Oryctolagus cuniculus: one gene and its partner. The protein of the gene in region 1 interacts with the protein of each later gene in a pairwise test. Links are inferred from orthologs where the notes say so. Each region holds a gene or a part of one and is shown in the gene's direction. Other genes may lie near its edges. The genes, in order: ATN1 and LENG8.

Evidence for each region.
Region 2: the proteins of ATN1 (region 1) and LENG8 interact in a two-hybrid assay, tested with the Homo sapiens proteins (2 studies listed by BioGRID and IntAct). The link is inferred for Oryctolagus cuniculus from reciprocal best matches to the Homo sapiens genes ATN1 and LENG8.

Annotation. Positions count from the first base shown.
Region 1 is NC_091440.1:102,603,217-102,606,799, reverse strand, and holds the end of ATN1 (atrophin-1), read left to right. Parts: intron 1-244; coding exon 245-941; intron 942-1,543; exon of another isoform or gene 1,544-1,625; coding exon 1,626-1,769; intron 1,770-2,037; coding exon 2,038-2,218; intron 2,219-2,328; coding exon 2,329-2,362; 3' UTR 2,363-2,852; downstream 2,853-3,583. UniProt on the Homo sapiens protein: Transcriptional corepressor. Recruits NR2E1 to repress transcription. Promotes vascular smooth cell (VSMC) migration and orientation. Corepressor of MTG8 transcriptional repression.
Region 2 is NC_091449.1:4,261,469-4,265,268, forward strand, and holds the end of LENG8 (leukocyte receptor cluster member 8), read left to right. Parts: coding exon 1-74; intron 75-637; coding exon 638-1,128; 3' UTR 1,129-2,285; coding exon of another isoform or gene 2,286-2,448; 3' UTR 2,449-3,453; downstream 3,454-3,800. Other genes in the region: LENG9 (leukocyte receptor cluster member 9), read right to left, coding at 3,490-3,800.

The DNA of each region.
Region 1 (3,583 bases):
CGGGTCTGGGAGGCTGGGGGAGTTACCGCCACCTGTCGGAGAGGAGGAGCCACTACAGTCCAGGAAGTGAATCGCGAAAGGATTCTGGAATTCCTGGGTTGGAGGGAGGCGGAAAGATTCCTGGTGGATAGTTCCGGTGGGGCGAGGCACTTTGGCAAAAACCTGGTGAGACGGATGGACAGCTTAGGACAAGCACCCTTTTGCGTAATTTCCCTTTGACTCCATTTCTCCCTGTGCCCCACAGAAATTGGCCCAGGAGGGCCGCGCTCCAGTGGAGTGCCCATCTCTGGGCCCAGTGCCGCATCGACCTCCATTTGAGCCAGGCAGTGCTGTGGCCACAGTGCCCCCGTACCTGGGGCCAGATACTCCAGCCCTGCGCACACTCAGTGAATACGCTCGGCCTCACGTCATGTCTCCTGGCAATCGTAACCATCCATTCTATGTGCCCCTCGGGGCAGTGGACCCAGGGCTCCTGGGTTACAACGTCCCGGCCCTGTACAGCAGTGACCCAGCTGCCCGGGAGAGGGAGCGGGAAGCCCGGGAACGAGACCTCCGCGACCGCCTCAAGCCCGGCTTCGAGGTGAAGCCCAGCGAGCTGGAACCCCTCCATGGGGTCCCTGGGCCAGGCCTGGATCCCTTCCCTCGACACGGGGGTCTGGCCCTGCAGCCCGGCCCACCTGGCCTGCACCCTTTCCCCTTTCACCCGAGCCTGGGGCCCCTGGAGCGAGAGCGCCTCGCGCTGGCAGCCGGGCCAGCCCTGCGGCCTGACATGTCCTACGCAGAACGGCTGGCAGCAGAGAGGCAGCATGCAGAGAGGGTGGCGGCCCTGGGCAATGACCCGCTGGCCCGGCTGCAGATGCTCAATGTGACCCCCCATCACCACCAGCACTCCCACATCCACTCGCACCTGCACCTGCACCAGCAGGATGCCATTCACGCAGGTGAGACTTCTTCCTTGCCTACCCCTGGGTACTCTGAAGTTCTTGTGCTTCTGAGATCGCCGCCCTGACCTTTGCTCCCCCGACACGTGCACATCCCTGTTCCAGGCCCCCAGCCAGCCACAGAGCCTGTGTTCCCCACCCCCCAGCTCTCGGTGGTCTGGCCTCCTGCCCCTGCTAAGAGGCCCAGGCTGGAGCCATTTGAAGGCGCACTGCCTTTGGGTCCCGCTCCTTTGCCCAGGCCCCTCGCACATCCATTTCCTTGTTCTGGATTCAGCTTGGTCCCTGACACCCCCTCCCACCTTCCTCCCCCATCTCTAGATCTGCAGCTTTGGGTCTGGGTGTCCCAGGCAGCCCTGGCCGGGTCCACTCACTGTCCCAGTCCTCCAGCTCCCTTTCTCCCAGACTCCCCTGTGTGCTCTCCCTGCACGGTCTAGCGTCTCCTCAATGCAGTCTACCGCTGACTTCCATTTTTTCAGACCCCTCTGCCAGCTGCAATCTGTCCCATCATCCACATGCCCGTCCCCCTGGGCTCCTGCTCTTCCACGTGATGGCCTCTGTCCCACCAGGGGTCTCCTTGTGTTTCCTTGCGCATCTCTTCCCAGGCTTGGATCCCTTCACCCAATGCATGGTTCTCCCTCAGCCTGCCCGCCTCCCAGTGACGCCTTCCTCTTCTCTGCCCTCCAGCCTCTGCCGCGGTGCACCCTCTCATTGACCCCCTGGCATCAGGGTCTCACCTTACCCGGATCCCCTACCCAGCCGGGACCCTCCCTAACCCCCTTCTTCCTCACCCTCTGCACGAGAACGAGGTTCTTCGTCACCAGCTCTTTGGTAAGGATGGAGGCTTTGGTGGGAGCAGAGCAGAAAGGGGCGGGCAGTGGGCTGGGGGAACTGGGAATGGGAGGAGAGCTGAGGCCCTGCCCGAGGGGGGTACACGTGCCAATGCTAGGCTAAGAGGCTTGAATCCCAATTCCACTCCACCATTGGCAACAGGCAAGACTGGCTGTACTAGCTAACCTTCTAGTCTGTGTCTCGTGCAAGTACCTGGGCTGGAACTTGGTATCCACCAGTCACATGCCGCTGCCCTTCCTGCTTCCAGCTGCCCCTTACCGGGACCTGCCAGCCTCCCTCTCTGCCCCGATGTCTGCAGCTCACCAGCTGCAGGCCATGCACGCGCAGTCTGCCGAGCTGCAGCGCTTGGCGCTGGAACAGCAGCAGTGGCTGCACGCCCACCACCCACTGCACAGCGTGCCCCTGCCAGCCCAGGAGGACTACTACAGGTACACGGGGGCACAGCCAGCCTGGGGTGGGCTGGGAACCTCTCCTCCCCGGCCTCGTGTCAAGGTTGCTCTGTGTCTCACTTCTCTGCTGTGTGCCGCCCTTTCTCCAGTCACCTGAAGAAGGAGAGCGACAAGCCGCTGTAGAAGCTGCCATCGAGAGCACCCGTGGCTCCCATATCTCACCCTGGAGGTCCCCTTCCTGGCCTGTCACCGGAGCCCAGGAGAGGGTGCTGCTTACTTGCAGGGCCTCTGCAGCTGGGCAGAGGGAGGGAGGGAGGGAGGGACAAAGACCAAGGCCCACATGGTGTGCCCAGGTGGGGAGGTGGCCAGGGTGGGGACAAAGCGCACGGTGTCTGGGCCAGGCCCCTCTTCCTCGTCCCCCGGCTTTCCTCCTCCCCCGTGCCCCTTCCCGACCCTTTGGTGTGATGATCTCATCTGTTAGATGTGGCTGTTTTGCGTAGCATCGTGTGCCGCCCCCACCCCTCCCCAGTCCCTGTGTGCGCGCCCCTCTGCGATGTACGCCCCGTGCCCCCCACATTAATAATTTATATATATAAATATCTATATGATGCTCTTTAAAAAACATCCCAACCAAAACCAACCAAACAAAAACATCCTCACAACTCCCCAGGAAGTCGGCTGTGACTGGTTTTTTGTGGGCCGCTGCTGGGGTGGGTCTCCGCCTCCGGGAAGAGGCGGCAGAGACCGGCTGGGAGGCGGGAAGGGAGCGACCTAAAGGACCGGGGCGGGGGGCCCGGCGGGGGCATTCCTGCCCCAGCCACCGAGGCAGAGAAGGCGACGGGCGGGCCTCTGGCAGGCCCATCAGACGCGGTCGGTCTGGGCCGCGGGCCTTGGGCCCCCGGTGCCCGCCATCCCGGCTGTGGACGTCCGAGCTGGGGTGCGGTGGGCGTGGCTCGGTCGGCCAGGGCAGTCGGTGACTGGCAGACTCGACTACCCCAAGAGGAGCGGGCGGAGCGGGAGACTTTTTAATCTGCATCAGCCACCGCCGAGGAAAGCCATTTTGGGGCAGTGCGAGAGCGGCTCCTGCGCCGGGCTTTTGTTGCTGCCAATCAGTGCCTTCGTTCTTAAGGAAGAGGCTGCGACTGGCCGCTTTCTCGGCCAATCAACATGGAGCTCATTTGCATAGGGTCGTAATCAACCGTTCGTAAACTCTAAAGATGAATGATTTCAGTAAGTTCTTAAGAATACTTTTCATTTCTGCTGAAAAGTAGTGTACGTCGTTGCTCACTCAGGAGCGAGACGAAGGAACGAAACCCCACTCTGAGCTCACCCTCACTAACTGTGGAGTTCGTGCGTGGTCGGTGATCGCTTCGGGCCCGGCCGCCTGACAGTGTTACAGCTCTT
Region 2 (3,800 bases), on another chromosome or scaffold:
GAACCTGCCGGGCAACGTGGGTGAGTTCACGGCCTACCGGATCCTCTACTACATCTTCACCAAGAACTCAGGAGGTGAGAGGCGCGGCCCTGGACAGGGTGTGTGGGAGACTGGTGTGTGTGGTTGTGTGTGTGTATGACGGGTGTGGTGTGTGTGTGTGTGCGGTGTCTGTGGTGTGTGGGGTATGTGTGCACATGTGTGTGTTGGGTGTGCATGCACATGCTTGTGTGCGGTGTGTGCTTGTGTGTCTGTGTGTCTGTGTGCATGTGCCCGCAGGGCCCAGGGCGAGCCCGGCCCAGTGTGTGTGTGTGGGTGCCCGCAGGGCCCAGGGCGAGCCCGGCCCAGTGTGTGTGTGTGGGTGCCCGCAGGGCCCAGGGCGAGCCCGGCCCAGTGTGTGTGTGTGTGGGTGCCCGCAGGGCCCAGGGCGAGCCCGGCCCAGTGTGTGTGTGTGGGTGCACGCAGGGCCCAGGGCGAGCCTGGCCCAGTGTTTGTGGGTGCACGCAGGGCCCAGGGCGAGCCCGGCTAGCTGCGCTTCCTTTGTCTTGGGCCCAGTGTGTCTGTGTGTGTGGGGGGGGTGTCTGTGCGTGCAGGGCCCAGGCGAGCCCTGCTGAGCTGCGCCCCCTCTGTCCTGGCGCAGACATCACCACGGAGCTGGCGTACCTCACGCGGGAGCTGAAGGCAGACCCTTGCGTGGCTCACGCCCTGGCGCTGCGGGCAGCCTGGGCCCTGGGCAATTATCACCGCTTCTTCCGGCTCCACGGCCGCGCGCCCTGTATGTCTGGCTACCTGGTGGACAAGTTTGCAGACCGGGAGCGCAAAGCTGCCCTCAAGGCAATGATCAAAACGTATGTGGCACTGCGCCCTCCTGCCCTCTGCCCTCGTGGCCCCGCGGCCTCTGGTCCCCCGAACCTGTCGTTGACGACTCCTGGCCCGCTGGCCTCCCCGCTGCTCTGTCAGCTCTCCCTCCTCACCGCTTCCTTCCACGTGGGCCTCTGGACGCCCGCCTCCTGCGTCCTGGGCCCCCTCCCCCACTTGTCTGCCCCTCCCTTCCTCCTGTTCCGGGCAGCCTGCACCTGCTGTGTTGTCTTCCCTGTGAGATCTGCCCGGTCTCATGCAGCCTATGGCTAACCCCCACTCTAGAGAGAAACCAGACCAGGCGACCCCTGCTCCCGGCTGCTTCTGGTCCCATGGGGCCAGGCCCTGTTCCCTCTCCCTGTGAGAGTGCCAGAAAAGTGTAGGGACATGGATGGGATGCGGGCCAGCCACACCGCGGGCAGTGGGGATGGCCAGTGATGGGCCGGGCCCCGCCCACTGAGCCCGACCTGTGTTCACTGGGCTTTGGTGTCTGGGGTGGGGCCTCGGGGGCCGGGTGGAAAGGCGTGACTCCTGTTGAGAGCCAGGGTTGTCAGCCCCGGGGACGCCGGGCAATGTCAGGACACACTTCTGTTGTCTCAGCTGGGGAGGTGACACCGTGTCCATGCAGAGTCCGCTGGCCTGCCTGTGGTTTGCTGAGGTTAGCAGCCCTGGCCAGAGGCTGGTGGCTGCTCCGGGGGCCCCTGAATGCCAGCTGGCTGGCCTGGCCTTTCCAGGAAGGGATTAGGGAGCCACAGCATGGCCTAGAGCCGCCGTGCAGGATCTCGCCTGGGAGACACAGAGCCAGGGTTGGGGCCACCAGTACACGGCCTTCCGCGTGCCTCCTTTGTGTGCGGCTGCCTTGGCCGGCCACACAGCCACGAGTGTCCCCTGTGGTGGAGTCCTGGTCCGTCCTGGACCGTGCTCTCCCAGCGCCCTTCCACTTGGGGCGTGCCTGTGACCACTCCTGCTGGGGCCCAGAGGCTGGCGTGGGCAGGGTGGGAGTGGGCCCTCCTGTCCCAGGGCCACGGCGAAGCCTGGGCTTTGCCGGCGGGTGCACGGCCACCCCCGAGTCCTGGGCCGGGTGGCCATGTGCCATCGTAGGCCAGGAACCCGAGTTAGCGGCAGCTCAGGGAACTGCTGCTGCCCAGCCCCTGGCGAGTGAGCATCCAGACCCGCCGTCCCCTGCCCGCCCCCTTTCCTCCTGGCCCCCTGCGCAGGTAAGTGAGGGCGAGGGGGGGCACAGCTGGGGACTGGGGCCGCCAGCCCCACCCCGGGCCCCCCCGAGCCCCGAGGTGGGGAGGTGGGGTGGCTGGGCAGCAGAGCACAGTGTGCTGAGTCCCGGGGGGCCCGAATGGGGGGCGCCCATCCCTGCCGGTGGGGCCCTCCCCCGCTCCTGCCCGCCTCATCACGTTCTCCTCTTGTCTCCGTAGCTTCCGCCCTGCGCTGCCTGTCTCCTACCTGCAGGCCGAGCTGGCCTTCGAGGGCGAGGCCGCCTGCCAGGCCTTCCTAGAGCCCCTGGGCCTGGCCTACACGGGCCCCGACAACTCCAGCATCGACTGCCGCCTCAGCCTGGCGCAGCTGTCCGCCTTCTGAGCACACACCGGCGCGGGGCGGGGGCGGGCACGGCCCCCCAGCGCCACCCCGCAGATTTTGCTTTTGAGCCATGGACTTGGGTTGTAAATTAAGTCGTGGGGCGCAGGCTCCAGGATGAGCGGCTGCCCCGCCCCGCCTCGGGGCGTCTGTACAGAGATTTTTTCTACGTTTTTATTTTTTGCCTCCAGGGGTGGGGTTGCGGGAGGAGGGCGGGCGGCGGGCGGGTGTGGTCTGCAGGCCGCTGCCCGCCTTCGGCCTCCACTAATGCTGTCTCAGTGTTTTCTCTCTCTCTTTCTCGAGCTGCACTCCGGCACGCGGCCGTCGCCCGGCCCGTCCCACGCCGGGGGGCCAGCGGGAAGAAGACAGGCCGTCCAGCCCGGCCCGCTCGGCGGGGGCGCCCGCAAACCAGCCCACCGCCCGCCTCGTCACAGACTCTTGTTGCCAGCCCTCCGGGGCCTCAGCGTTTGGGGTGAGGGGAGCTGCGTAGAGACTGTGCCCCACCCTCGCCCCCACCCCAGAAACGCCGCTGCCGCCACCGCCGCCGCCACCGTCACCGTCGCCGCGCACGGAGGACCCCGGAGGCCATCGCGGGAGCTCGCCGGCCGGGCCGCCTCGTCTCAAGTTGTATTAAGTTGTCTCCGTGTCCCCCTCCCCCGCCCCAATGTCTCTTCTGATTTCTCCCTCCCCTCCCTCCCCCCCTCCCTCGGTTCAGCACAGGTAAAGCGGCTCCCCCCCCTCCATGGATCACCGCTCACGTCATGTTTCCTTCTCTTTCTTTATGTGTGTGTTGATTTCAGTTGTTTTTTCTTCTCCCTCCCCTTTCTTTTGGCCCTCCCTCCCTCTTCCGCCATGTAACGGAGGCGCGAGCTTGCAAACCGGGCTGCCTCCTCCGGACGGCCGCCGCCGCCTCCGCCTCCCCCCCCACCCCCCCTCCATTCTTCCCTTGGAGCGCTGCACACCGTTTGGAAGCTTGAGAGAAACCAAATTAAAGAGAAAGAGAGAGAGCGCGCTTTGCCCCTTCCAGTGTGAGGGCCCCCCAGGTCAGCCGAGGGGGATCTCAGCCAGGGGCTGGTAGGCGCCCCCCGCCCTGCCCATGCGGCACAGGCAGAGTGTCCGCAGGGGCCGGCTCCACAGCTCCCGGCTCAGGCTGCAGCCGGGCCCCACGAGCGGGAGGCGGGCGCTGCACCCCCTGGGCACCTTGGCTAGGGTGAGGTGGGGGCGCAGGCCCCCCGGAGGCTGCAGTACCCGAAGCCCGTCGGCCTCCAGCCTCCGGCTCAGAGCTTGCGCCATGCTGTCCAGAGGGGGGTCGGGCAGGGCACAGAGCACATGGTGGCCCAGGAGCACCGGGTCGC